4 linked regions of the Drosophila melanogaster genome follow. The gene in region 1 interacts genetically with each later gene. Each region holds a gene or a part of one and is shown in the gene's direction. Other genes may lie near its edges.

The links.
Region 2: of LIMK1 (region 1) and mbt, changing one enhances a phenotype caused by changing the other (phenotypic enhancement), as found in Drosophila melanogaster (one study listed by BioGRID).
Region 3: of LIMK1 (region 1) and RhoGAPp190, changing one suppresses a phenotype caused by changing the other (phenotypic suppression), as found in Drosophila melanogaster (2 studies listed by BioGRID).
Region 4: of LIMK1 (region 1) and dia, changing one suppresses a phenotype caused by changing the other (phenotypic suppression), as found in Drosophila melanogaster (2 studies listed by BioGRID).

The regions. Positions count from the first base shown.
Region 1 is NC_004354.4:12,589,159-12,593,971, reverse strand, and holds the start of LIMK1 (LIM domain kinase 1), read left to right. Parts: upstream 1-1,778; 5' UTR 1,779-2,041; intron 2,042-3,487; 5' UTR 3,488-3,523; coding exon 3,524-4,131; intron 4,132-4,288; exon of another isoform or gene 4,289-4,389; coding exon of another isoform or gene 4,390-4,448; intron 4,449-4,623; exon of another isoform or gene 4,624-4,650; coding exon 4,651-4,716; intron 4,717-4,804; coding exon 4,805-4,813. Other genes in the region: CG1824 (uncharacterized protein), read left to right, coding at 1-96, 360-965, 1,024-1,272. UniProt on the Drosophila melanogaster protein: Protein kinase which regulates actin filament dynamics. Phosphorylates and inactivates the actin binding/depolymerizing factor tsr/cofilin, thereby stabilizing the actin cytoskeleton.
Region 2 is NC_004354.4:16,609,003-16,615,358, forward strand, and holds mbt (mushroom bodies tiny), read left to right. Parts: upstream 1-1,682; 5' UTR 1,683-2,189; coding exon 2,190-3,360; intron 3,361-3,431; coding exon 3,432-3,703; intron 3,704-3,774; exon of another isoform or gene 3,775-4,272; intron 4,273-4,535; coding exon 4,536-5,012; 3' UTR 5,013-5,854; downstream 5,855-6,356. Other genes in the region: Nup153 (nucleoporin 153kD), read left to right, coding at 3-96. UniProt on the Drosophila melanogaster protein: Involved in neurogenesis of the adult central nervous system, and together with Cdc42, regulates photoreceptor cell morphogenesis. Phosphorylates exogenous substrates when activated by Cdc42.
Region 3 is NC_004354.4:17,649,539-17,654,474, reverse strand, and holds the start of RhoGAPp190 (Rho GTPase activating protein p190), read left to right. Parts: upstream 1-1,912; 5' UTR 1,913-1,976; exon of another isoform or gene 1,977-2,384; intron 2,385-3,164; exon of another isoform or gene 3,165-3,289; intron 3,290-3,574; exon of another isoform or gene 3,575-3,755; intron 3,756-4,236; 5' UTR 4,237-4,246; coding exon 4,247-4,936. Other genes in the region: IntS2 (integrator 2), read left to right, coding at 1-653, 720-1,584. UniProt on the Drosophila melanogaster protein: GTPase-activating protein (GAP) for RhoA/Rho1 that plays an essential role in the stability of dorsal branches of mushroom body (MB) neurons. The MB neurons are the center for olfactory learning and memory.
Region 4 is NT_033779.5:20,758,754-20,766,300, forward strand, and holds the start of dia (diaphanous), read left to right. Parts: upstream 1-1,546; 5' UTR 1,547-1,684; coding exon 1,685-1,704; intron 1,705-1,771; coding exon 1,772-2,088; coding exon of another isoform or gene 2,089-2,144; exon of another isoform or gene 2,145-3,388; intron 3,389-4,743; coding exon 4,744-6,699; intron 6,700-6,756; coding exon 6,757-7,287; intron 7,288-7,364; coding exon 7,365-7,547. UniProt on the Drosophila melanogaster protein: Required for cytokinesis in both mitosis and meiosis. Has a role in actin cytoskeleton organization and is essential for many, if not all, actin-mediated events involving membrane invagination.

The DNA.
Region 1 (4,813 bases):
GAATTGCTGCGCGGCTACATCATCCCGCAGGAGCGGCTGCACGGCGAGATTCGATTCGAGAACGTCTCATTCGCATATCCCATGCAACCCGATCATGTGAGTTGTATTAAAGTATATCTTCATTTCATTCTCGAGACAATGATGGCATATTTACATTAATCGATGCTCTGTAATTTGTAAACTCGCCACTTTTTTATATAATATTGAATAACTTCTTATCGCTTCCGCAAGTAGATAACCATTTTATAATACCCACAAACATTTATGGCCAATATTTACGGCTAAGTGATAAAAAGATTAGAGTCTAGGCAATGCAAACAGTAATGAACTTCCTATGTCAATTTTTGCTTCATTCACAGCTGGTGCTCAAGGACTTTAGCCTGACGCTCCGCCCGGGCCAGACGGTGGCCCTGGTGGGAGCCAGTGGATCGGGCAAGTCGACGATAGCGTCGCTGGTGGAACGCTTCTACGAACCATCGGCGGGCAATATCAAACTGGACGGCTACAAGCTGTCGGACATATCGCCCTATTGGCTGCGGTCCAATGTCCTCGGTTTCATCGAACAGCAGCCGGTGCTGTTTGGCACATCGATATTGGAGAACATCCGATATGGTAAACCAGATGCGGGCGAGGAGGATGTGTATGCGGCAGCGCGTCTATCACAATCGCACGACTTTGTGACCGCCCTGCCCGATGGATATGCGACGCATGTGGGCGAACGGGGCACCCAGTTGAGCGGCGGTCAGCGGCAACGCATCGCCATTGCACGGGCGCTGCTCAAGAATCCGCGCATCCTCATCCTCGACGAGGCGACGAGTGCCTTGGACGCCACCAGCGAGGCGGAAGTGCAGAAGGCACTCGATACAGTGGTCCAGAATCGCACCACTCTGGTGATTGCCCATCGCTTGTCCACGATACGAAACGCTGACCTCATTGTCGTCCTTGATCAGGGACGCGTCGTGGAGGTGAGTTGTCCTAGACCATTGGTATCTTCAGAAATATTTATATTTTCCCTTGTTTTAGACCGGCAAACATGACGAACTGATGGGCAAGCGGGGCCTGTACTTTGAGCTGGTGCGTCAGCAGGAACGACGGGACATCCAGGAGCAAGTCCAGGCGGTGGAGGACGTTGTGGCCGTCAAGGAGCAGCAGGCAACTGCAACAGAAACTTCAACAGCCGCAACAATTGCAACTGCCGCAGAAACTTCCGCAGCAACAGTGACAGTGGGGAGCAGCAGCTTCGGTGGCAGGGCAAACGCAGCGCAAGGATAGTGACGATGTTAGGCAAATTGAATGATTCCCTATACACTTAATTTAATATTCTTATAATGTTTTCACTTTTTTTTTTGTTTTCAACTGACCAAAAACAAAAATGGTGAGAGACGCTAACAATAAGTATACAATAAAATAAACGCTGAAGACAGTATTGTTTTTGTTATAAACAGAAAGTATTTCATTGTCATTATCGCTAAATTCACCGGGTTCATTAAAAATAGATGGGATGCGTGAACTTAAATTAAAGTTTGAAAAACTGAATATAAAACACTTGAAATCCCAATTTCCGTTAAATAATATATTCAATGGGACCGCATTATTTCTACAACCATACTCATATACGGTCACTCGAAGATTAAAGAAAAACTATTTCAATATTCAATTCTGTTCAATATTTCTTGTTAGTGACAAGCAGCGTGTTTATAATAAAAAATTTGTTCATTAAAGAGTTTATATATTTTTTAAGTTGATTGGCAGCTAGACGATAGTTTTGAGATTCTTTAATGACAGTCCTACGGTCACACTGGCTGAATTGTATTTTATTTTGTGTAGTTTTGTTGTTGTTTTGTTTATTATGCATTTCTTTTTTATTGTTTGAGTTAGCGAGCTGTGCGTCGCGTCGGCATTTAAACAAAATCCGCGGCATTTCGGTAGTTGCGATTAATAATTGCTTGGCGGGAATTACAGTCGAATAAGAAATTGGCGAGGAAAAACCAACAAATGTGCAATGTGCGTCAAGTCAATAGCAATACAAACGAACAATTATGTAAGTGTGTGTGTGTGTTTGGTTTAGTTTAGTGTACAAGTCCAGCAAAAAACAATAAAATCTAAGTAAAAAACCAGTTGTTGTTGCTATTGGCTTTGCTAATGTCGTGTTGTTCCCGTTCCCCCACACACATTTTCTAACAGCGCGTGCATGTGTGTGTGTGTGTGTGTGTGTGCAGCACCTGTACGCGTGTGTGTGTGTGCTTCTGCCTCCGCACAGTGGACACATTCCTGAATTTTGGAGTCCAAAAATATGCAAATTGCCTGAGTGAATTAATTGACTTAATTAACAAAAATTGGACCGCAAGTTATGATAACCATAGTTGATTAAACGGAATTAGTTTCTAGCGGGACTAGTGCGACAAATACTCAAACTTACTTGATTTTTTACCATTCGTTCCATTCGTAAACCTAGCTTGTCTTGGCTATTTTATAGACTTCAGTCAGGGTGGCACACCCACTCATTTCCAATCTCTTCAAAGCAAAATCACAGCACTGTGATATGGTTGGTTAAAGTAAAAGTTCAATGGGTTAAGCAGGTGATTAAAGGCACATTAACCCCTAATGGAGCTTGGACTGCACTTAACGCACGGCTCACATGTGACCACTGTGCGCGCGTGCAAGTGTGTGCGTGTGCATTCGTCATTCATTGGTCATGTTTATGCGGTCGGAAGAGGGACGTGCACAACAACTACAGTTAGCTCAGCTGAAGTGCAATTGCGATTGCAGTTGATCCAAAGAGTCGCGTTTGTTGTTGCATCAACCGGAGTTTTCACGGTCAATGTTGAGCTATATCCATAAATACACAAACATTCATGTGTATTTGCATATACATATGTATGTCCATATGCATATATCCATGGATTATGCATGCAAATCGATGATGGAAATCAGGCGGTATAGCGAATTCCGATGGGGGGCAGCTGACTCAGGATCGAAGTCTTTATCACTGAACCCTAAACTAATGACTACCGGACTCAATTATTTTGTTTTGTTCGGTCATTTTGTTTAGTACGCAAAAATATTTACATGGCTATCGCTTTAGCAATAAAGTTCGAATTGCTGTCCCAGTATATCATAAAAAATCACGGAGAGTTTTGAATGCAATTGGTTTTGAAAAATGCCAAACCTTCCTATCATTAACACTTAAATCAGTTAGAAAAACTAATATAATACTATATTAGTTGATAATAAATGCATTTCATGTATGATATCATTGTAGATATCTTTTTTCTCAACGTTAATGATAATGGGTAAAGATAGCTTATTTATAGACCTACATTGCCTATATGATATTTGCTTAGTTTCCACTGGTTCATATCGACCTGTTGACGATAATTGGCCAAGTTCCGTGACTGCTGGTCTATATTTACTATATTTAATACCTATTCCGTCATCGACTAATACCTTTTTTTTAACCTCCCGCCCCCCTGCTCTTTACCCACAGTGCTAACGTGATCGGGCCAAGGCACAAAAACATTCCATGCATCATCAGCAGCGCCTGCGGGCAAATGGCGGACGAGGAGGCACTGGATTGGGCGCAGGATCAGGACCTGTGTCCGGAGGACACTCACCATTGTGCGCCCATTGTCGGGGTCAACTACTGCCACATCCAGAGGAGCCAATCGTGATGGCTCTCGGCCAGCAATGGCACTGCGATTGCTTTCGCTGCTCCGTTTGCGAGGGCCATCTGCATAACTGGTACTTCGAACGGGAGGGCTTACTGTACTGTCGTGAGGATTACTACGGCCGATTCGGCGATGCCTGTCAGCAGTGTATGGCCGTTATCACCGGACCCGTAATGGTCGCCGGCGAGCACAAATTCCATCCGGAGTGCTTCTGCTGCACGGCATGCGGCTCCTTCATCGGCGAGGGCGAATCGTACGCCCTTGTCGAGCGTTCGAAGCTCTATTGTGGCCAGTGCTATGGCAAACGTTCCTGCCAGCCGGCGGATGCGAAGGCGCGGATCACAACGGCCGGCAAGCCGATGCACTCCATCCGTCTGGTCGAGATACCCAAGGACGCCACGCCCGGCCTGAGGGTCGACGGAGTGGCCCTCGACGATGGTTGTCCCACGGTCCGCATTACAGAGTAAGAAATTAACTGAAATTACTATAATTTACATCAATGAACTCATTGAGATGCATGCATTTGCATTATTTATTAACTTTATTGTTACATTTGTTTCTTGTTGTTTTTTTTAAGATCTTTTTCAAAGATCAGATTGTACTCTTTTTTGAACTTCTAAGTTGCCTTTGCGTTTAATGTACATATGTTATACAAACCAAGCCGTCTTCTCACTTTTTACACACAAGTCACAACATTTTTTTTATATGAATTTAAAGAAGAATGTCTTTTTGGTTACATTTTGTACTGAAAAAAATTTTACCATGGCTCAAATCTACGAAGTACGTATTGTGAAATGATAACTATTATTTGATTGTATATAATTTATTGCTTCAATCTGACTCACTTTTGGTTGCCATTTGTTAAAGTTTGCACATTAGCTAACTAGGTCTAGTCCTAATTGCCAACTAATTTCGCTGGGCGTTCGTCCTTCGACTCTTTCTGCATTTCCCTAATACATGCTTGCCCAAAAAAAAAAAATAGCTTGTTCTGTAACTTCTTCTTGTGGCTAACCTCGATGGCGGAACAGTGCTGTGGGGCGCCTTATAGGTAACAAATGTGCCTGAGTTGAATTAAAAGCAACAACTAAGCTAGTAGTAACACTTTGCTAATTATTGATTTATTTCCTATTATCCAGAATTGATGT
Region 2 (6,356 bases), 4.0 Mb from region 1:
AGCTTCAATCCGCCAGCTGCGGGCAACTCGGCGCAGAGTTCCCAGACGGCTCGCCGCAAAATCCGCGCCCCCGTACGCCGTTTGCCGCCCCGGTAGAAATGGCATCGCAGTCGGCCATCACGATAGCAAATGAGGCCGCCGTCGGATTAGGATTAAGATATTGGCAGCCATTGCCGAGAGTAACAGAATCAGCAGTAGCAGCAAAAGCATCAAGGGCCGAAAAGGAAAAGCAAGACACAGAAGACGCCGGCAACAATAGTGGGCTCAAAGGTTCGGTCCAGAGCCAATATCACCAGGAGCCAGATATTCAAGGATCATCGAGGATAAACATGCAGTCACCAAAGTCGCCATGTGTGAACAAATACCGCTTCGTACGCCGCCACAGCCTGAACTCTGAAACCAGGAAACCCTTTAGCAGGAATATTTGGCAGAATACAACAGGAGAAGGCAATGAAACCAATGGCGACGATGTCCCTAAAACACCAACAACTGGCGACCAGGAGGACAACCAACAGGAGGAACGAGATTCAGCGGTATATACATCAACAGAACGAACTGTACTAGTAAGGACCCAATTCAAGATAGTGCGGCAAAGGAGCGTCATCTCGAAACCGAGACAGAAGCCTCCGACTTACTCTTAAAAAGCTAAGGAATAGGTTCGTTCCACATCCTTCTCTGCTCTCCGATGATTGGGAGATGACCACGCGAATGTCGCTCATACTACGCATATTGATGATTACAAATTATAAAAACACTTCGTTGGATTTACGCGAGAATTCATCGCACCAAAAAAAAAACGAAAATGAATATATTTTAACGTTATTTTTGTTGAATATATAATATACCTTAACGATAATTATGTAATAATTATTTTGCGAAATAGTAAAGAAACGTGTAATGCTGCAATCAAACAGAGATGCGAGGCCATGTAATAGCGCAAAAAATCAACTACTGTATAATGTAGTAATACGTATATTCGAGTTATTGGCCGATACGTCGAGCATATGATGATTGCAGTCAGATAAGAGCGATCGGCAAACGATTGCATTAAGTCTTTAGTTTTTGTTATTAATTTTAGCGTTTAGATTCACACACACACAATTCACACGAGGAAAATACCTGCAACGACGTTCTGTGCAGCAGCCAAGGTGGAAAGCCAACAAATTAAAGAAAAACAACTATCTAGCAACGTAAAGAAACCAACCAACCCTATAGCTAACAAGATAACAGATTAGATGAAAAGATTAGAGAGAATGGTGGCAAACTGGAAAACCGAAAGAGTTATAATTGTATGCATGTTTTTTATATACATAAATTCATAAAGAACATTTAATATTTTATTTTAAGTTTATATTGATCATTTTTAAGTCGAGAACAGAAATGGAAATCAGAAGTCTATGTTGAGAGAGAAACGGTATCATAATGTAAATAAGTAAATATATGCGGTATGATAATTTAAACATTGTGCTCTTTACTTGGGTTTTCAACTGGAATTGCAATGAAATTCTATAACGAATATTTGGTGTCTTAAAGTACATATCTTACTTTGAATGGTAATTGTTTTCAGCGCGAATACTTTACAAACATTTGAATTTCGAAAAGCCAGTTGACCACAGGCGAACTCACCATGCCACGGCAACGGTCACACTGCCGCCATTGCGATAGACATCGATAGCCGTTCCAGCACTAATACTCACGATAAACACCACCTCTATTTCTGGCATCGGCAATTATTTCCCTAGGTTTATTATTTTTTTGTTAAGCGAATTGCTTGTGCGCTCGTGCTGTCGCCATAATGTGTGCAATGTGTGCCAGCCAGAGGAGCAAGTGGTGAAGGTGTATCGCTTGTGCGCATCTCGATTTGTCCATCCATATCCAATTGAATCCCAGTTTCCCAGTCGCGTCCGCTGCTATGCGTGTGTGTGTGCGTGCGTGCCCGTGTCCCTGCATGTGTGTGTGTGAGTGAGATCGGGAAGAAGTTGTGTGCTGTTGTTGTTGTTGTTTCTGTCGGATTTGCCGTTGCCATCGTTTGTTGTTTGTGCATTTTCCATTGTCGGGCGACGCAACAAAAAGAAAAAAATTACACATTAAAAATAGAGAGCAAGAGCGAGAGGGAAGGAGTGGTGTGGAGTGGAAAAGGGCGGTAAAAGGGCAGAAATTTGGAGCACGGGAAATCCGAGTCGCTGAAGATGTTCTCGAAGAAGAAAAAGAAACCGCTGATCTCGATGCCCAGCAATTTTGAGCATCGTGTGCACACGGGCTTCGACAAGCGGGAGAACAAATATGTTGGCCTGCCCCTCCAATGGGCGTCCATTGTGGGCAACAATCAGATACTCAAGTCCTCCAACCGCCCGCTGCCACTGGTCGATCCCTCGGAGATTACGCCCACCGAGATTCTCGATCTGAAGACTATTGTGCGTCCGCATCACAACAACAACAAGGCGGACACCACCTCGCTCAACAGCAGCAGCACAATGATGATGGGCTCAATGGCGCCGATGAATCCCATGGCACCTGGCGCACACCCAATGATGAGCCATGGCCCCGGAATGATGATGCCACCCGAGACGGGCGGCATAGTCCTGCCGAAGACCTCTCACGTGGCCAGATCCAATTCGCTGCGGAGTTCCAGTCCGCCGCGAGTGCGACGGGTAGCCAATGTGCCGCCATCGGTGCCGGAGGAGGAGGGACCACCGGCAGCTGGAACACCGGGAGTAGGTGGAGCTAGTAGCGGTGGCTTTAAGCCACCCGGTGCCCATCCCTCCCTGCTCTATAACAGTCAGCATGCGCACGCGAATGGAGCAACAGGACCACTGGCCGTGCGCACGGATCAAACCAACCTGCAGCAGTATCGCAGCAATCTGGCCCCGCCATCCGGCGGCTCCATGCCCCAGCAACAGCAGACTTCGCCCGTGGGTTCGGTGGCCAGTGGCACGCGATCCAATCACTCGCACACGAACAATGGCAACAGCGGCGGCAGCTATCCTCCCATGTATCCCACAAGCCATCAGCAGCAGCAGCAGCAGCAACAGCAGGCCAAACAGGGTGGCGATCAGAACCAAAATCCTCTGCATCCGCATGCTCATCCGCATCCGCACCATCACCAACATTTGGCCAAGTCGGCGTCCAGGGCATCCAGTTCCAGCGGGGGAGCGAGCAGTGCTGCCCAGCAGGCGAGCGGCGCCAGTGGAGGAGCGGCGGGTCAGCCAAAGCAGGACCAACGACTCACCCACGAACAGTTCCGTGCCGCCCTTCAGATGGTGGTCTCCGCCGGTGATCCACGCGAGAACCTCGACCACTTTAACAAAATAGGCGAGGGCTCCACGGGCACCGTATGCATTGCCACGGACAAATCCACAGGCAAGAACATCCGCTTTAACTATTGTCAAAACCATTGAATTAATGGCATTTGGTTTTCTCATTACGTACAGGTCGCCAGGTGGCCGTGAAGAAGATGGATCTGCGCAAACAGCAGCGACGGGAGCTGCTATTCAACGAGGTCGTCATCATGCGGGACTACCATCATCCCAATATCGTGGAGACATACTCCAGCTTTCTGGTCAACGATGAGCTTTGGGTGGTGATGGAGTACCTCGAGGGCGGCGCCCTCACCGATATTGTCACCCATTCGCGCATGGACGAGGAGCAGATAGCCACCGTCTGCAAGCAATGCTTGAAGGCTTTGGCCTATTTGCACTCACAGGTGCGTGACCAGCATGACACTGCCCCTTTCCTGTCCCCGTTCCCATTACCATTCCCTTGGCCAAACTGGGCAGCAGAGAACGGAGTACTCGCCATCATGCGATTCTTTGTGCCTTTGTACCTTGCCATTTGCGGCGCTTTCTTCGCCCTCCGCTTTCGCGTGGCTTTGGTTTCAATTTCTAAATGTTGTCACCAACAAAAGTCGTCGGCCGCACAGTGGGCCATCGAGTGGCGTAGCACGCCCAAAGTGCCAGGTGAAATCGCACGTGCATGCCCTACCTCAAAGCGAAAAGTGTGCATAGAGCGATTTTCGAATGGATAGTTAATTGCATCTTATGATGAAGGAAGTTTAAAGTTATAGTTCATTACTCATTGATAGATAAGCCAATTTGCTATGATTTTGCCTGAGATACAACTTGAGATATTAAAACTATCAATATTAGAATAGCATATAATAATAATATTAAGTCAGTCAGTCAATTGGAACTTGTTTAAGCCCCAACATTTCACAATACTAAGCATTCCTAATGTTTTAGATGTAGTCTATTTAAATGAAATTAGAACTAGAACCCAACCTGTTTATGCTATCTTCCACGTTAGGGAAACCAGCGTGTTCCCAAGAGCAGGAAATTCTTTTTGGGCGTTGCAGGGTCGATCTGGTTTCTTTTGTGCATTTCTGTCCCACGTTGGCTCGTGTAATGCGATAAGTGTCTGTCTGCGGGAGAAAGGGCGTTGGTTGGGGGAAAACCGCAAACTGTGAACGCTTTTAACCAATTTCCCTTCTCTCTCTGTCTCTTTCGACGGTGCTGCCGATGGCGATAAACCATAAACAGGGCGTCATTCATCGCGACATCAAGTCGGACTCGATTCTGCTGGCCGCCGATGGTCGCGTGAAGCTATCGGACTTTGGATTCTGCGCCCAGGTGTCACAGGAGCTGCCGAAGCGCAAGAGTCTGGTTGGCACGCCGTATTGGATGTCGCCGGAGGTCATATCGCGCCTGCCGTACGGCCCGGAAGTGGATATCTGGTCGCTGGGCATCATGGTCATCGAGATGGTGGACGGCGAGCCGCCGTTCTTCAACGAACCGCCGCTGCAGGCGATGCGTCGCATCCGTGACATGCAGCCGCCGAACCTGAAGAACGCGCACAAGGTCTCGCCGCGCCTGCAGTCCTTCCTCGACCGGATGCTGGTGCGGGATCCGGCGCAGCGTGCCACCGCCGCCGAGCTGCTGGCCCATCCCTTCCTGCGCCAGGCAGGACCGCCGTCGCTGCTGGTTCCGCTGATGCGCAATGCGCGACACCATCCGTAGTTGGATGCCACTGGACAACCCAGACGATCCGGCTGCTCGATGAAAGCAATCATTCCCACAGACAACGGATCCCGGCCCGTGGGCATCCATCTATTAAATTCTAGTATTAACATTCAGTTTGGCAGCTGTACTTAAATCCCCGGAGAATCCTCGAAACGTTGTAAAGTCATTTAAGCTCCGCACATCCATATCCATATCCATGCCCACTAACGTTCCAGAAGAGAACGCAATGTGCCTTTCACAAGCCTCGAAATCGAAATTGAAATCGCATCCTGCAACCGATACGGATGGAGAAACGATATAGCATTTATCTGCCCGAGAACCACATTTTTATATATATATATATATATACATATATGAGTATTTCAGCATTTTGCTCTCTGTCTCTTGTCAATATTGATTTGTGTGCGTGTGTGTTTGATTTTTTTTAACCAGCCCATAAAACATTGTTCGAATATATACATATATACGCTAAGAGCTAATGTTAAAAATCTATATATATATATATATACACATATATTTTTTATAAAAACAAATCCTAATTCTAAGCAAAAGCGAAACAACGAAGGTGTGAATCGAAGGGAGACAGAAAACGAAAGAGAAAGAGATAGCGTTAGGCGGAAGAGCATATACAATTTCGACATAAATATTTTTTAAACATTTTACATTTTACATTGGTGTGAAAAGTTTGTACGCTCCAGACATACACATATGCATATATCTAAACACATTCCCGATTTCGAAAATATTTTAGAACTTTTAGCTTACATTCTTTGTTCTGTTTTTTTGATTTAACCCGTGTAATTATTAATTAATGAATAAACTTAAATGCGAAAATGTTCAATTTTGTGGTTTCATTCATAGTTAAAAACTACCAAAAATAACTAGAAATCCAAAAAAAAATTTCTGAATAGAAATATTGAATATTTTAATATTTTATTCGACATTTTGGAGTTTCATTTTAAAGATATTTCTGTTTTTTTTATTACAAACTAATTGAAAAATGCATGTTTCGATTTTGTTGTTTTTATTACTGGTTGATTGATTGTTTGATTGATTGATTGATTGTTTGATGGTTGTGAAGAATACATAATTGTGCCCGCTTAAATACTCGCACATATATTCGCAAAATATATATGCGTATTTATCGCGTACATGAAGGATGGGGTACTGGCTCTGGATAAGTGGGCGTGGTCGTTGTGGCGTTGGTGGGTGGGTGTGTGTGAGTTGAGTGAGTGTTGTGTGTGCGCGTGTGTTTTTGTTTACAACATAAGATTACAAATATATTACATACACGAAAAATCAATTGCGAACTAAAAACTAAAGGGCAGATCGGGCTGCCAC
Region 3 (4,936 bases), 5.1 Mb from region 1:
AACCAGATCGAGGTGACGTGTCCACTAACCGCCCAGCTGCTGATGATCTACTACCTCATGTTGTACGAGGATACGCGACTGATGAACCTCAGCGCTTTGGGTGGTCGCAAGCAGAAGGAGTACTCCAACAACTTCCTGGGCGGACTGCCACTGAAGTATCTGCTCCAGAAGGCGCACCACTACCACAACGACTATCTCTCGCTCTTCCATCCGCTGCTGCGTTTGATTATCTCCAACTATCCGCATCTCAGCATGGTCGATGACTGGCTGGAGGAGCACAATCTGGCCCAGGGCAATTCCACGGTGGTGGTAAGCAAGCATGAGCTCAAGCCGGAGACCCTGGATCGTGCACTGGCCGCCATCCAAACGAAACCGCATCTAGCCATCCGCGTGTTTAAGCAGCTACTCCAGATGCCCCCAGAAACGCAGGCGCAGTATGGACAACAGCTGGTGAAGCATCTGCCGATGGTGTTTGCCAAGTCGGTGCCGCGATACGTCAAGGATCTGTACAACGATATTTGGCTGCGCCTGAATGCCGTGCTGCCCACCACCCTGTGGATCATGTCGCTGCGAGCGATTACCAACGGCTCGGATACGATGGATCGACGTACCTTTGCCAACGAGAGTCTTCTGGAGCCCATGGAGGTGCTAAGGTGGGTTGCCTCGTCATTTTCGTGTGTTGTTTCCTAAAATTCTTTCGCATTCCTTTTGATCAACAGTTGTCCACGCTTCGTATTCTGTTCGCCCTATTTGCTGATGATCCTGCTGCGCATTCTGAAGGGCAGCCTAGCCGCCTCGAAGACCTATCTCAACGTGCACATGCAGATGCAGCAGAAGCAGGTGCTGGACAAGAATGGCATGATGCAGACGGATGCGATTTGGGAGGACCTAAGGACCACGCTGATTGCCTCGCAGGAGAGCGCCGCCGTGCACATTCTGCTGGAGGTGCTGGACTACATAGCCAGCAAGGCAACGGATCGGGTGTCGCATCTGGAGCTGCGTGAGATACAGGGCATCATTGGCACCTATGTGCATCAGGCATTCATTTCGGAGCCTTCGCTGGCGAAACTAGTGCACTTCCAAACGTATCCAAAGTCGGTTATTCCCATGATGGTGGCCAGTGTGCCATCGATGCACATATGCATTGATTTTGTTCACGAATTCCTCAACGTGACGGAAATGGAAAAACAGATCTTTACCATCGATCTGACCTCCCATCTGGTGCTCAACTATTCGATACCCAAGAGTCTGGGCGTCTCGAAATTCTGCCTGAATGTAATCCAGACGACGTTGTCCATGCTGACCGCATCGACCAAGTGTAGATTCCTGCGCAATGTGATGCCAGCGATGGTTCGTTTCGTGGAAACGTTTCCCATTCTGGCCGACGACTGCGTCAACATCCTGATGACCACCGGGCGCATTCTGCATTCGCAGTCATCGCTGGGCATGACCACAATGGAAATGCCACTCACCGATAGCGACAAGCTCTGCACGTATCGGGATGCCCAGCTGCACATCATCATGATCGAGGACGCGTTTAAGGCACTGGTCACGGCGGTCATGAAAAAATCGGACCTGTATTAGTTGGACTCGATCCCGCCTTGTTTTTCATAGTCGTAAGCAACCTTTCCCCACTCCGCCCCCCGGCTGATTATAATAGTGCTTGTAAAATTTATAACAACATTGACCAGAATAAATACTTATTGCAAAAACCATTTCTATATAACTAATTAATTAATTGAGTTTAAATTTGGCGCCTCAAATAAATATATAACTACGCAGCTGTTATCGGAATCTACTTTTATCGATAATATACTTTGGTTAGCGAGTACACATACCAGATATATCTATCGTTCCCGGCCATGCCACCCATACGCGTATCGGGTTATCGATAAAAACTAACAAGCATCGACATTAGTTCCAGCTCTAGTTTTTGTTGTTGTTAAATTAAAGCTCGGATGTGAATTACAATAATTGTGAGTAGCGTTCGTGCGTGCGTAATATGCGAATCGACTGGCATTCGGCATTGAGTTTTGTGTTTTGATTCCTGAATCGAGTCAGGACGTATCTGACCTGCTTTTTCAGTGTGCGTTTACGATGCTGATTCGTAATTGTCCTTTGTATACGTTGTGTACGCGCTGCTCCTCTCTCCTCTCGCTCTCCCTCTCCCGCTCTCCCTTGTCTTGAGTGTGTGCGCCTGCTGTGTGCGTGTGTGTGAGTGAGTGAGAGTTCCATGGTGGGAAAATAATTATTAAAGCAAATACAACAAATACAATTGCTTAGTATTTTGTCAAGTGACTGGCTGGAAAAGCCAAGAAGCACGGGCTTCAAGAAAAAGTGTCGCCGAGGCGGATTAAACTTGAATTCTTTGTGCGCAGCTGCAGGTAATTGTTCACACACACAGAACCCACGCACACACACGCAGCCAGCGAGCACGCAGAGAGAGCGAGATGCCCCGCTGCTGGGAGTGTGTGCGCCAGAGCGGGATGGCTAGGCGGATGCGGCAACAGTGTTTTTCTTTTCTGCAACAAATCTTAAAATTCGTTTCCAAAAATTGTATGGTGTTTTGTCTCTCGTCTTTGCGCTCTGCCGCTCCCGCCGCGCCCGTTTGTGTTTTTGTAATTGTACCGTTGCACATGCACTTGCAGTACTCTCTCTTCTCCTCCCCTTCCTCCTTTCTTTTTGCCTTTGTCGTTGTTGTTATCACTGGATCGTTGCTCTCCGTTTCTTGCGCTGTGGCTGTTGTTGTTGTTAGTTGTTAGTTGTTGTTGTGCAGCGCGGAGAATGTACAGGAAATCTGTTGCAGATCCAATTTCGCTTCTGCGCTGCACTTGCCCAGCATGTGTGTGTGTGTGTTTGCGGTGGTTTGTACGCCGGAAAAACTCAATTAAAGGCCAGTGGGGAATTTATTATTTCCACTCTCATTGAAACGCACAACCACACACACCCACATTGTTGCACTCCCACTCGAGGATAACAGCAACAAATTGGAGTGCACTAGCAACAGCAACAACAAACACATTCACATCCGAATCCACCCACGCGCTCTCTCTACTTTCCACTCTCAGTCGCTCGTGCTCGCTCACTCTGACTCTGATTCTCTCTCTTTAGAGAGTTGCGCCGTGTCGTTTGCAGCACCAAAAGAAGCGCTGCGACAGAACAACCGCCGCAGTCAGGACGGAAAAAGGATTTGTTGCAGACTGACTTTCCCTACTTGCCGAAAATGTTGTATAAAAACTAGCCATATAAATAAATACAAAGATCAAACTAGCAACCCAAAAGAAAGCAGGTAAAAAAGAGCCCTGTGCATTTTTTGTGAAATCGCGATTCGCGTATATTATTCGCTGGCCAAAAATCACATGGAATGAATTTTCGGGCAGCGCCGGCATAAGAAAATCGCTTGCGCGTTTTTCTTCTCCGTTTCTTTTTTTTTTTTTGTCACATCGCAGCAGCCAATCTCTCGCTCTCGCTCTCTCGTGTTTTTGGACCCCCAATCCGTGGATGTATCCGTAACTGCGTAGTTGTAGCCAAAAGGAACTCATGACAAAGTCCTAGACTGGCGAAAAGTGTGCGGAAATGTGAAGGTCCTGCGGCCAATTGGAGCAGACGGCGCGGAGGACACGGGGCGATTCTCCAACTCGAAGGTTATCTTGGATAATAGTCATCGGCTGGCATCGCAAGCCAGCCATTTGCCGTGAAAAAGTGACCAGAAATCGACGGTTTTCCATTCCGTGTGTGTCCGGAGAAACTGAGAGGTTATCCCTGAATATCCAAAGATATCCATAAGCTGACGTTTTCACGAAAACACATTTGTATATATCGAGCCGAGCCAAGGTCTATTCTACGCTATTTTTCTTTCGTATATCCCTATAATAAGGAATATATCTTTATGTGAAATCCTGAAAAGCATATTATCCATATGCATATTATCCTTTTCATACAACGTTAACAGGTTATCTCCTGTGATATTTTAAAATATTACCTTAACAACCGATTGAATGAATCAATTTGCGATGGATACAATGTTACAACATTGTGTCATGTTGATAGGCATGTGAGGAAAAGCGCCAGTAGATAACACCTTATCGATATGATAAGGCACAATCATACATTTGAACGAAAACACCTGCAGAATACCAAATCCGGAATTACCTATTCCATAACACTTTTAGCATTTATCTGCGAGTCTATAAGCCAGGTATCTAATTCTCTCCTTCGACTTTTGAATCCTTGCAGGAACGTCAAGATGCGTCAGTTTAACATCTCGGTCATTGGACTATCCGGGACCGAAAAGGACCGCGGGCAGGTGGGAGTGGGCAAGTCATGCCTGTGCAACAGATTCATGCGCCCGATGGCCGACGACTACTTCATCGATCACATATCAGTGCTTAGCCAAAGCGACTTTAGTGGCCGGATCGTGAACAACGACCACTTCCTTTACTGGGGCGATGTGCGCAAGACGACGGAGGAGGGCGTCGAGTACCAGTTTAATATCATCGAGCAGACGGAGTTCATGGACGACTCCACGTTCCAAGCCTTTAAGGTGGGAAAGATGGATCCATACTCAAAGCGGTGCACGGCCACCAAGGTCTTCTCCGCGGAGAAGCTAATGTACATATGCAAGAATCAGTTGGGCATCGAGAAGGAGTACGAACAGAAAGTCATGCCCGATGGCCGGCTCAGTATCGATGGCTTTGTTGTCGTCTTCGACGTTAGTCCAGTGCCCAATCGCAGTGTGGAGAAGCAGGTGGAGTTCGTGCAGAATGTCATCGCAACCATACTAAAGAACAAGAAGCCACTGGTGCTGGTGACCACAAAGAACGACGACGCTTATGAGTTGTATGTTCGAGAGGCGGAGAAAATTAGCCAGCGAAAGGACTACAAGAGCACTGTGCAGCTAATCGAGACGTCGGCCCACGAGAGCATCAACATCGAT
Region 4 (7,547 bases), on another chromosome or scaffold:
AGCACACAACTAATGCCAGAGCGGGAGCGAGAAAGACATATGTAGATCGTTCTGTGGAAGGAGTGTTGGTCGCGGAGGGTTGTGTTGTGATGTTGTGGAGGGGAGGGAAAGAGATGCAGTGCATGTAAACAAAATAGAGAAAGAGGCAATTGCAGTAAATTCTTTGGCAAAAGAAATCTTGTTGAAAGCATTTCCTCCGCAGATGCTTATGTGTACTGGCGACCTGAAAAGAAATTGTTGCCCTGCTTGAACTTGTCGCTCCACTCTCCACTACCCACCTCCTCGCCCCCTCCCTCGCACACTCCTCTGCCCACACACACACACACACACAACACTCCATTCACAATTGGCCTTTTGCGGAGTCATATATTAAATTTGATTTCTCTAGCCGAGCACTGTGAATGATTTGCCGCCAGTTGGCACGCCCGTTCGCCACACTGCAGAAAATACCAGGGCACATATATATCTATATCTATATATCTATTAAATTTATCCTTGCATGCCAAATATTGAAACGCAGCACTTTATAGCTCTCTTAGCTTAAAATGTAAATTTTACTCAATTTAAGAGCACTAATAACGAACGTTTATTTCATTTCCTAATCAAATCTTACAGTTTAAGTACTTTGTTTTCCGTGTAGCGAGCCAGAACCATCCGCAAAACCTGTTGCTCGTTTGCCTTTTTATTGGATTTTCTGTTTTCTACCTCTGCTGCTCAGCTGCTGCGATTCCGATTTCATTAGTGATTCATTAGATGCGTTGGACAAGCTAACGCAAAAAGCCAAAGCTTGTTCCCAACGCATCCTTCAATACAAGGCAATTCAAATGTTCAAACGCTAACGGCCAGCCTCTCAGCCTGGTCAAATGAATCACTCCATATTCTCCACATATTCTAACCAATTTCTCTCGTGTTTTGTTTGGCTCTCAGTTTTGCGCTGTGAATAACGTGCTATTTCCTATTTTGGCTGGCCGCGATTATCGCATCGTTTTGTAAATTTAGTGCGCATTATTAATGAATTTGTCCAATTTGCTGCGGTATACTTTTATCGTTTTTGTTTATAATTATAATCAGTCGTTTTCACGCGGTGAGAGTTTTGGATAGCACAGTGGTCGGATTCTAATTTGGAAAATGGTTAAGCTTGAGAGTGTTTTAATCTGTAATATAAACTTATTGTACAAACCTAATTATAAATTGATCATTTTTGAGCTTACCAGTAATATTCACACAGTATTAAAATTATAATTCCTATTAGATTTCCACCCTTAAAAAATTTTAAATGAAAGCCAACTCTCATGTGTTAATGTTCTTAAGCATGTAAAAGGAAAACAGCACCCTTTCCAAGTCGAAGAACCACTGTAATGGGCCTCGTTCCCTCAAAATACGTACATATGTACGTGTTAATTGAAAATTCCACACTCCGTTGAGGCTGAATCGACATTACGGCACCCCAGATAATTGTAAATAAACCCAAGCTGATAATGATCGACCACCTCCCAGCCATCCGTCCATCGATTGGATGCATTCGCTGGGAAGCCATCAGAAACCGCGGTCTGTGCGCTGCTCTCGAACACTTGTAAACAAGGAACAGCTGTGCAAGTTGTCTCCCCCAAAATATTGAAGACTGCGCAGGCCCCAAAAATCGTTGTTTGGTCTTTGTTTAGTTTTCGCCTAGCTATCCAACGAAATGCGCCTCAAAAAGCTGGGGTTAGACTTGAAATCTTTTGCATAGTTTATGAAATCGAACCCAATATTTCTGTTCTGTTCTTTGCAGAATGTCTCGTCACGAGAAAACGAAATCCACGGGCGGCGGGCTCCTGGACAGTCTGTTCGGAAGACCCTCGAAGTCCAAGGGAGGAACCATCAGCAGTGGCACCCTGGCCCATGGCGGACGACCCGTGTCCGCGGACAACTATGTGGTGCCGGGCGTGGAGGACTTTGAGCAGTACATCCAGCAGCTAAGCGTTGCGGAGCTGGATGCGAAGTTTCTGGAGATCATCGAGGACATGAACATTCCGAAGGACAAGAGGGAGCCCCTGTTGGCCAAATCGAAGGAGGAGCGACAGAAGATGATTATGTGGCACTTGAAAGGTAAAGAACATGGTGCAAGTACACGTTTTCAAACAGAAAACCGCATTTGTGTTTGAAGATTGAGTATCGTTTGGCTAAGAACTATAGTTCTGGAATAGAAAGTCTAAGAATAATCTACATACATATACGAATAATCTAAACTCGTCTGAACCGTAATGTTCCAAGCAACTTTGAAAGGCCAACCGGATTGGCAAAACTTTAACACCCTTTCCCTTTGCAAGGGTATACAAACAGCAGACCATCGATTTTCGTGCAACTGGGTGACTCTGCCTTCTACTTTTTTTTTTTGCTTTTGTTGTGCTGCGGAATATTGCATTCCACTTGTGATAAGATAAGCAGGTAACGGAACTCGTGTCCGTGTGCTTTCCCCGTTTCGCTGTGTGCGTGACACTGCAAATTTCGCTTTCTGATTGCTTAGCGCCTTCTTAGCTGCCAATTTGCTCTGTGGCCAGGTTCTGTTCTATATTTCTGGCCAATTCCTAAACCGATTGAAGTGATGTCAACGATCCTTTGGATAAGTAAGCTCATAACATACATAAGTCTCTAAATGGTTTCCACTTCAATTAGTCAAGAGGTGATTACTTTGTTTGTTAACTACATATACTTGCTTAACTCTACTTCAATTTTGAGAATACTTTATTTCTAGAATTATTATAACGATATTATGTGCATCGCAGCGCGGTAATGATTCAGCTGGAATCTTCCCTTGTGTTTGCTTCATTCATATCCAGCGAGATTAGTACGGTGTACTCTACTGTACTACAGTGATACTACCAATTATCACTGTAGCACATCGCCAGCTGTATCTTGAGCACATTTCAATGCCAGCTCAGCTTTCAGCTTCAGCTTCGTTCTTTGGGTCTCGCTCCAGTTAGTTCACCATGGCCATGGTCCATTATCAGTCTTGCGGAGTGTGGAATCAAAGTTCCCTTATCGTTTGTAACGCCTAATTGCGCCACAGCCGCGGACTATCTGCTTGCCCATTTTATCAAGTAATACCAAGTGCTATATTATACATAGTATGTATGTAAGTGGTACGCGGCGAATGCGTGACAAAGTCGAGCGGCAAAAAATGAAAATGCAAAGACATTGAATTTCCACCACCGTGCACATTATACAATTTAAATTACGTCAAGTGGCAGTGAGAAAATGAAATGATTCTTTTATTTCGCGCTTAGGTCTTTTTGTTGTATAAGCAAGTGCATCGTGAAGGCGAGAGAGAGATGTACTATGTACACTGAAAGTATTTTTACTAAACATCATATATAAATATAGCTAATGATTATAACCTACTATTTATAAATCTCAATGGCCTTGTTATTGAATATAAATTTAATATTTCAAATTTTAATTCAAATTTCCTGTACCGACGAGGCTTAGTTCTCAGTGTAGCAGAGGCAGAGGGTGATTTTCCTTACACTTTGGAACGGCCATAAAATGCAAATATGCGAAAACATTAAACACATTATGACAAAATCGAGCTGAAAATAAATTGTGATGCCTGTCAGTAAACTTGAGCTGCGGCACAATCGTATCTCATAGGTGCAGATAGCTGCGAGTGAGAGGTAAAAGCGACTGAAGTAAGTATTTGTGGGTCGTGTTTATTGTGGCAGAACCCACTTGTTGCGAAATTAAATTTAAAACACAAACAATGGACTGGCCGACAACAAAAAAGGCTCGCACAAAAAGCTGTTCATTAACACGCTTCGCTTGCCGTTTTGAGTTAATTAATAAAACAGTTAGCGTAGTTTTGCTTTGACGGATAAACGTATAAGTGGTGGGCAGGTTTTGGCCAATTTGAGTGATGTCAGTGGTGCAGGTCAATCAGAAAAAGGGGTGGGTGGTCGCACCGAAGGCCTCCCTTCCAAAGGTGGGACATGATGATAGCCTTTTAACTACCCCTATCTCTCACAGTTTTAGGGCAAAGTTATCACATAAAGCTGTGCAGCAACTATTTAGAACCTCCAAAGTGTAATCATTGAGCCACCTATATAGAATATGTATCATCCTTTATCATGAAATTTACAAACTTCAAGTTGGAAAATCTGGAGTGATGGCAAATAAACTTAAAAACACATTTGCGTATTATAATGTGTTGATATGTGTATAATGTTACACCTTTGTTTAACATAACTTGTTAACGATTATATTCCAGATTAGAGCTTAAGTGGTAATTTCTCGTTAATTAAATGGTTTTCTTATCAAATTGCCATTGTACGTTTGTGGGAAAGTATTCCGATTTAGCAGACTAATGATAGGGTAGAGTGAATCATCGCTGATATGACTAAATTCAGGTGTGTTGTCGGTGGGAGGCAAACCTCTTTCTTTCAAAATATAAGCCTTGAGCTATTTTGGAATGAACCCGTATACTTTTTATCATCGAAACAGCACAAACGTGAGTTGAATGGCAAAATGTACTTTAATTTACTATTGTGCCAACTTTTAATTTATGTCAAAAGTGTAACAAATCAAAATGTCCAATATTAGCCATAATTATCAATTGCTTAAGTTACGAACTGATCGGATTAGATATTAATAGGTGTTTATAGAACCATATTCCTATGTCTACTATGTAAAATACCGCTGACCACTAAATAGCTTTACAGAAATTCAATACGTGCGCTCATCCGACTCCAACTCCAATTTCTCTTCCAGGTAAAAACTCACTGGAGCGTAGCGCCAACTCCCGCTTCGAGAAGCCCATAGACTATGTGGAATACCTGCAGAATGGGGAGCACAGCACGCACAAGGTGTACCAATGTGTGGAATCTCTGCGCGTGGCGCTCACCAGCAATCCGATCTCGTGGATCAAGGAGTTTGGAGTGGCGGGCATCGGGACGATTGAGAAGCTGCTGGCCCGGTCAAAGAATAATGCCAGCTACGAGAAGATCGAGTTCGAGGCGATTCGGTGCCTGAAGGCGATCATGAACAACACATGGGGTCTGAACGTGGTGCTCAATCCGGATCAGCATAGTGTGGTGCTGCTGCTGGCGCAATCCCTGGATCCCCGGAAGCCGCAGACGATGTGTGAAGCCCTCAAGCTGCTGGCCTCGTTCTGCATTGTCTATGAGCGGAATGGCTACGAGAAGGTTCTCCGAGCCATAACCACTATTGCAGCCACATCCTTTAAAGCGAGCGAGCGCTTTCGACCCATAGTGGATGCCTTGTTTGCATCGGATCAGCAGGATCCCAAACGGGACTTGGCATGCCACAGCCTGATTTTTATTAATACTCTCACCAATACCCCCACGGATTTGAACTTCCGCCTGCACTTGCGATGTGAGATTATGCGCATGGGTCTATACGATCGCCTAGATGAGTTCACCAAAATCGTGGAGGCCAGCAATAATGAGAACCTGCAGCAGCACTTCAAGATCTTCAACGAGATCCGCGAGGATGACTTCGAGGAGTTTGTGCAGCGCTTCGATAATGTCACCTTCAACATGGACGACGCCACCGATTGCTTCGATGTGCTGAAGAACCTGGTGACTGACACCACTTCCGAGCCCTACTTCCTGTCCATCCTGCAGCATTTGCTGTACATCAGGGATGACTTCTACTTCCGACCTGCCTATTATCAGCTGATTGAGGAGTGCATCTCACAAATCGTCTTCCACAAGGGTTACTGTGATCCGAATTTCGAGAACCGGAACTTTAATATAGACACCTCGCTACTGCTGGACGACATTGTGGAGAAGGCCAAGGCCAAGGAGTCGAAGCGGTCGGAGGAGTACGAGAAGAAGATCGAGCAGCTGGAGAGTGCCAAGCAAGAGGCGGAAGCGAAGGCGGCTCATCTGGAGGAGAAAGTCAAGTTGATGGAGGCTAATGGTGTGGCGGCTCCGTCGCCCAATAAGCTACCCAAGGTAAACATACCCATGCCACCGCCACCACCAGGAGGAGGAGGAGCACCTCCCCCACCGCCGCCACCTATGCCGGGACGAGCAGGTGGTGGACCTCCGCCTCCACCACCACCTCCCATGCCGGGAAGGGCAGGTGGACCGCCACCACCTCCTCCACCGCCCGGAATGGGAGGCCCACCGCCTCCACCCATGCCTGGCATGATGCGCCCAGGAGGGGGACCTCCACCACCGCCCATGATGATGGGGCCCATGGTTCCCGTTCTGCCTCATGGCTTAAAACCGAAGAAGAAGTGGGACGTCAAGAATCCCATGAAGCGGGCCAACTGGAAAGCCATTGTCCCGGCCAAAATGTCCGACAAGGCATTCTGGGTCAAGTGCCAGGAGGATAAGCTGGCCCAGGATGACTTCCTCGCAGAACTGGCCGTGAAATTCTCTTCTAAACCTGTAAAGAAAGAACAGAAGGATGCGGTGGACAAGCCAACGACGCTGACAAAGAAAAATGTCGATCTTCGTGTGCTCGACTCGAAGACTGCTCAGAACTTGGCTATTATGTTGGGAGGATCGCTGAAGCATCTGTCCTACGAACAGATCAAGATCTGCTTGCTGCGCTGCGACACCGACATCCTGTCCTCCAATATCCTGCAGCAACTTATCCAGTACCTTCCGCCGCCAGAGCACCTCAAGCGTTTGCAGGAGATCAAGGCAAAGGGCGAACCGCTACCGCCGATTGAACAGTTTGCAGCCACAATAGGTAAGGCGAATGGAGTTTGTAGTGCAGAAGGCGCAGAATAACTTTACTTAATTTCAGGGGAAATTAAACGCCTTTCGCCGCGACTTCACAACCTGAACTTCAAGCTGACCTACGCGGACATGGTGCAGGATATCAAACCCGACATTGTGGCAGGAACGGCAGCATGCGAAGAGATCCGGAATAGCAAAAAGTTCTCAAAGATCTTGGAGCTGATTCTGCTGCTTGGAAATTACATGAACTCGGGCTCCAAAAACGAGGCCGCCTTTGGCTTTGAGATCAGTTATTTAACCAAACTGTCCAATACGAAGGATGCGGATAATAAGCAGACATTGCTGCACTACCTGGCTGACCTGGTGGAAAAGAAATTCCCAGATGCACTAAACTTCTACGACGATCTGTCGCATGTTAATAAAGCGTCGCGGGTCAACATGGATGCCATCCAAAAGGCCATGCGGCAAATGAATTCGGCGGTTAAGAACCTGGAAACTGATCTCCAGAACAACAAGGTGCCGCAGTGTGATGATGACAAGTTTAGCGAGGTGATGGGCAAGTTTGCCGAGGAGTGCAGACAACAAGTGGACGTGCTGGGTAAGATTATCTCATCTGATCGGAACGAATATTACATGAGCAAAATCGAATTCTCTAACATCTCGTTTTAATTTCAGGCAAAATGCAGCTGCAAATGGAGAAGCTGTACAAGGACCTCAGCGAGTACTATGCCTTCGATCCCAGCAAATACACAATGGAGGAGTTCTTTGCGGACATCAAGACTTTCAAGGATGCCTTCCAAGCGGCCCACAACGACAATGTCCGGGTACGCGAGGAGCTGGAGAAGAAGCGTCGTCTGC